2 linked regions of the Daphnia pulex genome follow. The protein of the gene in region 1 purifies or fractionates together with the protein of each later gene. This does not show direct contact. Links are inferred from orthologs where the notes say so. Each region holds a gene or a part of one and is shown in the gene's direction. Other genes may lie near its edges.

What was found. The genes of interacting proteins can lie anywhere in the genome.
Region 2: the proteins of dnaJ homolog subfamily C member 3-like (region 1) and dnaJ homolog shv-like purify together in Homo sapiens (affinity purification with mass spectrometry; 3 studies listed by BioGRID and IntAct, with this or other methods). This does not show direct contact. The link is inferred for Daphnia pulex from reciprocal best matches to the Homo sapiens genes DNAJC3 and DNAJB11.

What each region holds. Positions count from the first base shown.
Region 1 is NC_060023.1:5,722,003-5,726,956, forward strand, and holds dnaJ homolog subfamily C member 3-like, read left to right. Parts: upstream 1-1,761; 5' UTR 1,762-1,860; coding exon 1,861-1,951; intron 1,952-2,029; coding exon 2,030-2,340; intron 2,341-2,406; coding exon 2,407-2,550; intron 2,551-2,615; coding exon 2,616-2,797; intron 2,798-2,883; coding exon 2,884-3,034; intron 3,035-3,092; coding exon 3,093-3,305; intron 3,306-3,372; coding exon 3,373-3,521; intron 3,522-3,576; coding exon 3,577-3,692; intron 3,693-3,756; coding exon 3,757-3,890; 3' UTR 3,891-4,098; downstream 4,099-4,954. Other genes in the region: mitochondrial import inner membrane translocase subunit TIM14-like, read right to left, coding at 1,135-1,353, 1,440-1,568, 1,644-1,646. UniProt on the Homo sapiens protein: Involved in the unfolded protein response (UPR) during endoplasmic reticulum (ER) stress.
Region 2 is NC_060017.1:5,991,432-5,994,866, forward strand, and holds dnaJ homolog shv-like, read left to right. Parts: upstream 1-1,319; 5' UTR 1,320-1,498; coding exon 1,499-1,557; intron 1,558-1,643; coding exon 1,644-2,037; intron 2,038-2,101; coding exon 2,102-2,244; intron 2,245-2,309; coding exon 2,310-2,524; intron 2,525-2,590; coding exon 2,591-2,853; 3' UTR 2,854-2,935; downstream 2,936-3,435. Other genes in the region: maternal protein exuperantia-like, read right to left, coding at 332-520, 689-697. UniProt on the Homo sapiens protein: As a co-chaperone for HSPA5 it is required for proper folding, trafficking or degradation of proteins.

The sequences.
Region 1 (4,954 bases):
ATCCTATGAAAAGAAAAATTTTCTTATTACTGAATACTTTGTAAACATGAGATTTTATCAAACCATTGTAAAAATCACCATGGACAGCCTTCTCATTTGATGTCAAATCAACAATCATTCCAGAGGGACCAGCAGATTGCTAAATTAACATTGATATAAACTTATTAGATATCTTAAAATGGCAAGTAACAGCTAAATTAGAATATAAAAGGAAAAAAGTTGGTATTATTAACATCGTGTTCAATTAATTGCTGTTTTTCCAAAAAAATTTGTATCTTTGTCTAGGATCTTTGTAATGCTATCAAATGATTTTCAGATGACATGTTTGAATATATTTTGGAATTGTAATATTTAACAAATGATTTGAATGGGAAATCAGTTTACTATACATCTAGACTAGATTTTTAAAATCAATTGATTAATGCTTACCTCATCTAGGTCCATGTAGCTGCCAGCACCTATGTATGTAAAAAAAATCCATAAAAATATTGGCTGTGGTAATCATCATGTTAATCACGATGGTGAATGGTGGACTACTAACCTTCAGGAAACATTTCATCAACAACTACATTTGGCTTCATTTTAATCACCGTGAAGTATAAACTTTAACTGACTGTAGTTAATTAACAAATGAGCCTTATTTGAAAACACTATTGGTGTTTCCTCAACAATTCTTAAGACTCTTGAGTTGGAGAAAGAATCCAAGAGCGACAGGACAATAATGTTGAAAAACGTATTTTCGTCTGTTAACTGCTAAGAAAAGATGGAACAATGTTGCCAAATCAAACGGTACCGATTTATAGCCTCGGGCATTTGGTATCTCCCCGTGGGCCCGTTTTGTTTCTCTTTATGTGTTCCTAGTGAAATGTAATATTTTAATTTTTGTTTTCTACATCTTTATGAGTATGTTGGAAAAAGTTGTAAAATATACTAGCTGAATCAATCATAGTAATTTTACCTGAACAGCAAACAAACTACATTCATCCTCCAAATTGCAAATTGTCTAAATGAATAATAATTGATTATACAAAACATACAATTATTGAAGCTGTTGACTCTTTTATTTGAACAAATGTTACTAAAGTTAGATTATTTACAATGAAATCTATAGTTCTCCCCTGCACAAAAGATGTTTTATTTCAAATTATCCATGAAATCTTTTGCTTCATTTATCTTAGCTGCTAAATATGGTGAGCCACCTCTATCTGGGTGATTTGCAAGCATTATTCTTTTATGGGCTTCTTTCACTCTGATTTTGTTGGCTGTTGGTGATACACCAAGTATTAAAGATGCTTCTCTTTTGGACATTTTGGCATCAAAACCACCTTTGTAGTACTTGCTTCCAAGAAGAGACTACAAAAAATATTTGAAAAAATGATAATAAGAACATTACCATAAGTAGAAAAATATCAACATTTACAATTAATTCTATCTAATACCTCAGTATCCATAGGAAACTGCTTGAGTATTTCGTTAAACTTCGTCGTCATTGTGGGAGCAGATCGAAGCAGTGTGCGACCAGCAAATCCGACAGCAGCCAGTCCAAGACCAACAACTATCGCTGTTGACTGAATTACATAGTAGACATTAATAGCAAAACTTTAGTTTCACTATACACAATAAAATTTACTTTGAAATATTACCATTTTTTCGTTCGGAGGACAAGAGGTTTCGTCACGTTTTTGTAATGTTGTCTGCTCTGTTACTCAATATCTACCCACGAGCTTGAAATTCTAAACAACAGATGGCTTTGTTTGTCACGTAATGTCTTCTGATTGGGCCACATCACAGACGATTATTCTATTATCAGTCTGAAGTGATCCTTGTGGCTTCTTAAAGCTCTTAAGTTTAAAAAATAGAATGATAACTTTAAAAATGGCTGATTGGGGCCCACATTCAAGACAAATGTATTCAATCTTAATTTGTCTCGTTAGCATCGGAATCATCGAAGGTACAAGCCGGTTTCTTCAACTCATGTAAATTGTCCTTGTGATTCAAACGTCTTATGTATTTATTTTTCATTATACAGTTCACGGAAACGCCAATCCCTCGGAAATTGAAAAGCATTTAGAGCTTGGTAAATTAATGATGGCTAAGGGCCAACTCCAAGATGCACTCACCCATTTCCATGCAGCTCTAGAAGGAGATCCTTCTAACTACTTAACATTATACAGAAGAGCTACTGTATATCTTGCCCAGGGAAGAGCAAGAGCTGCATTAGAAGATTTGAATCGTGTTCTTGAAATCCAACCAGATTTCATTCAAGCCAGAGCTCAGAAGGGAAATATCCTAATGAAGCTTGGGCGTTTGCATGAGGCACATATTGAGTTGGAAAAAGTTGTAAGTATACATGTTATTATGGTCAAGTTAATTAAAAAATATTTCCTATATGTCTATCTTTCACAGCTTAAAAAGGAACCAACAAATAGTGAAGTCAACAAAAATTACATAGCAATTGAATCATTGAAGAAGAGTTACATGCAAGCTCAAATGTTTTTCAGTGACAAGGATTACCACCATGCCATTGATCTCTTAACCCAAGTTATTGATGTATGTTTTTATAAACTTTCTTGCAAATGATTTCTTGCTACTATGCTAACATTTTCTTTCTTTAGATTTGCCCTTGGGATATTGGTTTGCGAGAGATGCGCTCAGAGTGTTATCTAGCTATTGGAGAGGCATCAAAGGCTATTTCAGATTTAAAAGCAGCTACCAAATTGATGTCCGATAATACCGGCGCTTTCATGAAGCTTTCTAAACTGTATTATGGCTTAGGAGAACCAGAAGAGTCTCTAAAGTAATTATTCTTGTGTTTTTTGTTTTGTTCTGCATAATATTGTCAATATGATACAAGTTGCTTACCTTAAATTATTTTTTCTACAGCCAAGTTAGGGAATGTTTGAAACTTGATCCTGAACACAAGGAGTGCTTTCCTCATTACAAGAAAGTCAAGAAAGTGGCAAAGCTTGTGCAGGATCTGCAAACTAACTCTAATGACAACAACTACCAAGGATGCATCACTTCAGCTAAAAAAGTATTTTCCTTTGAATTATTAAATTCCACAATAAATAACAATGTAACCATTCATATAGGTCCTGAAAGTGGATCCCACCGTATCAGAATTATTATTTTTGGCTGAAGATAAACTTTGCCATTGCCATCTTCAACTAGGTGAACACTCGGAAAGTCTCGAGTTCTGCTCTTCAGCTTTAGCTCGGCACACAGAGCCGAGGATATTGTGCGACAGAGCTGAAGATTACATTGCTCTTGATATGCTCGACGAGGCTCAACAAGATTATGCTAAGGTAAATTATTAATTAACATATTGATATATTGATGTCTTGGATTAATCATCAAGCACCTTATCTTTAGGCATTAGAAATCGAAGAATCATTCAATAGAGCAAAGGAAGGAATGCAAAAAGTTCAGAAACTTCAAAAACAAGCAAAGAAACGTGATTATTATAAAATACTCGGTGTGAAAAAGAACGCCAACAAACGAGAAATTGTTAAAGCCTACAGGTAATGAGCTACATTTCATGCTGGAAAGAAAGTTTTCTTATTGTGTGTTTTTTAGAAAACAAGCGCAACAGTGGCATCCAGACAACTTCCAGAATGACGAAGAATCTAGGAAAAAGGCAGAAAAGAAATTCATTGATATTGCCGCAGCTAAAGAGGTTTTGACCGATCCAGGTAAAAATTGCCGTACATATCCCCCATTATTTATTTAATCTAAATTCATGATTTTCGTTAACAGAGAAGCGACAAAAGTATGATAATGGCGAGGACCCATTAGATCCTGAATCCCAACAAGGCCAAGGTTTCAATCCTTTCCAACAGGGGGGTTTCCATAATTTCCATGGCGGCCAATTCAAGTTCCACTTTAATTAAATTAAAAACAAAATAACATGGTTCGTTGTTTCAAATTAACTTTTTTTTGTCTCAAAAGATCGTTTAAAGTCTCGTCATGAATGGGTCACTGACATTTATCTTTTTTTCCTCTTTTTTATTTCAACAATTTTCATCGATTTGGCCTTCCTGTGAATTTTGTACATAGAATATTACCGGTATCTGATTAAATAATGGTACAGGTCACAAATACTTGCCGAATATGGCTCAATCTGAGGTGCTAATATTTAGAAACGTTTCCTCGACGCCAGTCATGTGTTTGTACATCAAAACGTATGTTTAATGTCCAAAATGACCTATTGATGTCTTTTTCGCCAAGATAACTCAACGGATAGAATAAGATGAAATGCTTAAACTTTTCAAGAGTTGTTGTGCTTACTCAGGTGCCACTATGTCATTTCGAAATTTAGTATTTTATCTTTCACCTTCAGAATTACCAACCCGTTTTTTTTTTAAATAATTGACCTTCAACCCGACTAGATTGAAAACGAACAAGAAGGAAAAAGATAAACTAGCATTTCTGTTACAGCAATTTTGTGTTCATTTCGAAATAGTTGAAAGTTTTAGGATAGTTTGAAAACACAATCCCTAAGTAAAATGCCTACTTCAATATTCATGCTTGTGGGTATTGAAGGTTTGATTTCCCATGCATGCCGCTCTTCCTCCTATCTTTTAGAATTTAGAGGCATATACAGGCCCCGAGGCCCGAGTAGGCAGCTTGCATCTACTTTATTCACAAATTCTGTTTTAAATTGCATTTGAAATAGAATGTAGGAGATTTGACCCCCGTCCCCACCCTTGCTTTTGCTGCTGAGATTTGCCACAGTCCGGTAGCGCTATCTTTTGCATCCGTAAAGACTCGAATTCAAAATTGTTTGGCGCCAAGTTCCGCCAAGTAATTTCCCTTAATAATATGAGAATAATAAGATGACATAAAAATATAAAAAAGGCATTCTCTTCTCGAAGGGAAATATCACGTACGTATTTTAAAATTTTATAGTAATTGACATTTCCTAGCTTTTTCTTTCCGAAACGTGAAATAGCAT
Region 2 (3,435 bases), on another chromosome or scaffold:
GGCTGTGCTGGCTGAGTGGTGATCACAGCGGGGGGGGGGGGGGGGGGGGGGAGCATCAGATTTAACCTTGGCCTCTGTAGTTGGTGGCTGAATTAACACCTCTATGATGATCTCCTCGGTGGAAGATGAGGTCTGTTGTTCTTCACTGTTGTTGGTCATTTCTGTAATTTGATTCTGCAACACAAAACACTATCGATAATCAAACAGCATTCAACAACAGTGTAGTGGTTAAAAACAAAATGCGAGCAAAGAGAATACTTAGGCAGTCTTCAAGAACAGTTCCCCTTTTCTTTAACCAATGTGGTATTGAAACGGTGGCTTCCCACATGACCACAGCAATGCTGTCATCGTGTTCAGGCATTGGCTGTGCTGGCTGAGTGGTGATCACAGCGGGGGGAGCATCAGATTCAACCTTGGCCTCTGTAGTTGGTGGCTGAATTATCACCTCTATGATGGTCTCCTTGGTGGAAGATGAGGTCTGTTGTTCTTCACTGTTGTTGGTCATTCCTGTAATTTTATTCTGCAACACAAAACACTATCGATAATCAAACAGCATTCAACAACAGACTTGTAGTGGTTAAAAACAAATGCGATCAAAGAGAATACTTAGGCAGTCTTCAAGAACAGTTCCCCTTTTCTTTAACAATTTTGTGGTATTGAATGGAATTGATTAGTTAATTAATTTTACCTGAGCCATTGATGGCCGCTGGTTGATGTGGAAGAGAATACCATTACTTCACTTTCGAATGAAGACTGCAAATGGAAAACAGTAGACCGAGTTGACTAGATAATAGGCTGTGTTTATATAGCACGGCCTTATAGCAATGCGTCAGAACCATCTAACGGCAGTTTAGAAAAACACGAAAACACAAATTCGAGTATATAATTATGATTTCGTCGCAATATAAAAATCTAAATGCGACGGCTCCATGTAAAACCTTGTCTTGCACAAGATGATCATAATTTCCTAATTGTTTAACTCTAAGAAAAAAAACGTATAAAACATTAATGAAATAAACAACTTTCCTATCTCACTGAGAGGAACAACGCCATCTGTTGGTGTGGGTTGGGTTGGGTTGGGTCAGGAAACAGGTCTTTGGCGATAGAATCCCTATCGGGAAATTTTGACACACTCGCTAGAGGCGCTCACACGAAATGGGCAATTCGAGAACATGAACTTTGGACTATAGGGAAAATATACATGGAGTGCAGTGTTTATGATGTTTCCCCAACGCTACACATGACGACATGCATACCATTTCAAAACACCCTGTGGCGTCTATAGTTACGATACGTCACCAAACCCCACCGACCAATGAGCTTTTCCCACATTGAATCCAGTATTCTGCAGACGTCCTTTCCTATTTTCTGGCGCGTTGATACATTCTGAACAAGTGTAATATTTGCTGTTGTTAATTGTGGTAGTGGTCTAACCTAGGCTGTTAATTCGTGGACACTGCTTCTAACTTATAATCAAATTAAAACTTTTTTTTTCAAAATGCACTTGAAAGTGTTATTGTTATTTATTTGCCTTGGACTGGGAACCGTTTTAGCAGGGTAGGTAGCGAATCCAATTTACTTTTGTAACCGGCATTAACTTGTGACGATTTTCTAACGTGAGCATTTTTTCTTCGTTTTTACAGACGAGATTTTTATAAAATCTTGGGAATACAAAAATCAGCAAACACTAACCAAATCAAGAAAGCATACAGGAAATTAGCAAAAGAACTTCATCCTGACAGAAACAAAGAAGACCCTGAAAAAGCCAGTGCCCAGTTTCAAGACCTTGGAGCAGCCTATGAGACTCTTTCCGATCCAGAGAAGAGAGAACTTTATGATCGCTGTGGTGAAGAGTGTGTTTCAAAGGAAGGTGCAGGTGGGGGTGGAATGGATCCGTTCGCCAGTTTTTTTGGTGATTTTGGGTTTGGATTTGGGGGTAATGGTAACCAGGGTCAAAGGGAGGTTGCAAAAGGAGCAGATATTGTGATGGATCTTTTTGTTTCTCTCGAAGAACTTTACTCTGGAAACTTTGTTGAGGTAATGCTTTCATTAAAAAGTAAAGAAGAAAAGTGATTTTAAACATATATTTTACATTCTTTAGATAACACACAACAAACCTGTTCTAAAACCTGCAAAAGGTACTAGAAAGTGCAACTGCAGGCAAGAAATGGTAACCCGACAATTAGGTCCAGGAAGGTTCCAAATGATGCAGCAAGCTGTCTGTGATGAGTGCCCCAATGTCAAGTAATGGAGAAATCAAACTTAACAACGAATAGCAACTTATTATTCATGATGTTTGTATGAAACAGGCTTGTCAATGAAGAACGAGTTCTCGAAGTCGAAATCGAGCAAGGAATGACGGACGGTTTGGAGCAGAGATTTACTGCCGAAGGTGAACCACACACTGATGGAGAGCCAGGTGACCTCCGTCTACGAATTCAAACAGCTCCACATTCCACTTTTGAACGCCGAGGAGATGATTTGTATACCAATGTTACCATCTCTTTAGCGGATGCCTTGGCCGGTAAGTTGCAGCGCAGCAACGAATAATGTTTTAAATCTTGATAAATAACGGTCTATTCTGTTTTAGGTTTTGAATTAGATATTGAACACTTGGATGGACATAAAGTACATATCGTCCGTGACAAAGTGACTTGGCCAGGTGCTCGCATTCGTAAGAAGGGTGAAGGAATGCCAAATTACGAGAACAACAATCTTTTCGGCATGCTCTACGTAACATTTGACGTGCAGTTCCCGAAAGACGAACTCTCAACTGAGGTCAAGGAAAAGCTCAGGCAATTGCTGTCGCAAGATTCAATCAACAAAGTGTACAATGGCCTCAGAGGGTTTTAAAGTTCTTCGATGCATTTCGTGCATGTAAATTTTTACAATTTTTTTTTTTTTATTGAAAAAAAAAATCGCTGTGTCACTACGATCTACTTCTTGTTTCATTCTGCGACAGCCATAATTCCCGGTTTAAGTTGTATGCCACACAAGGATATAGCTCGGCACCGCATAAATTTGACATTTCTCATCGGATTTGAAATTCTCCAGAAAAACTGTAGGGGAGGCAATCTTGGGGGTCTTTTTTAAGGGTCGTACAAATGAATAGCGTTATATTCGCTGAGCAGCGGACTCATATCATATTATGGTTTTCTTAGTATACAGTTTTTTTTGCAAATACCTTTAAAAAATAATGAGACAGGATGTAGCCACCCAATAATGGAATGCAACCAATAACTGTCGTCGTTTGCATGTGGAATAAAAACGAAGAATTCTAAAAATATATTTTCTATAGGTTTGATTAGTAAATGTCAGAAAAAATAAATAAGATAACTTAAAGCATCTGCATAAAGACAGACTTAATGCAGTTCAATGGAATAAGGACAATTAGCTTCCAATTTCTTTTTCGTTTAGGCCTACAGCTACAGCCCT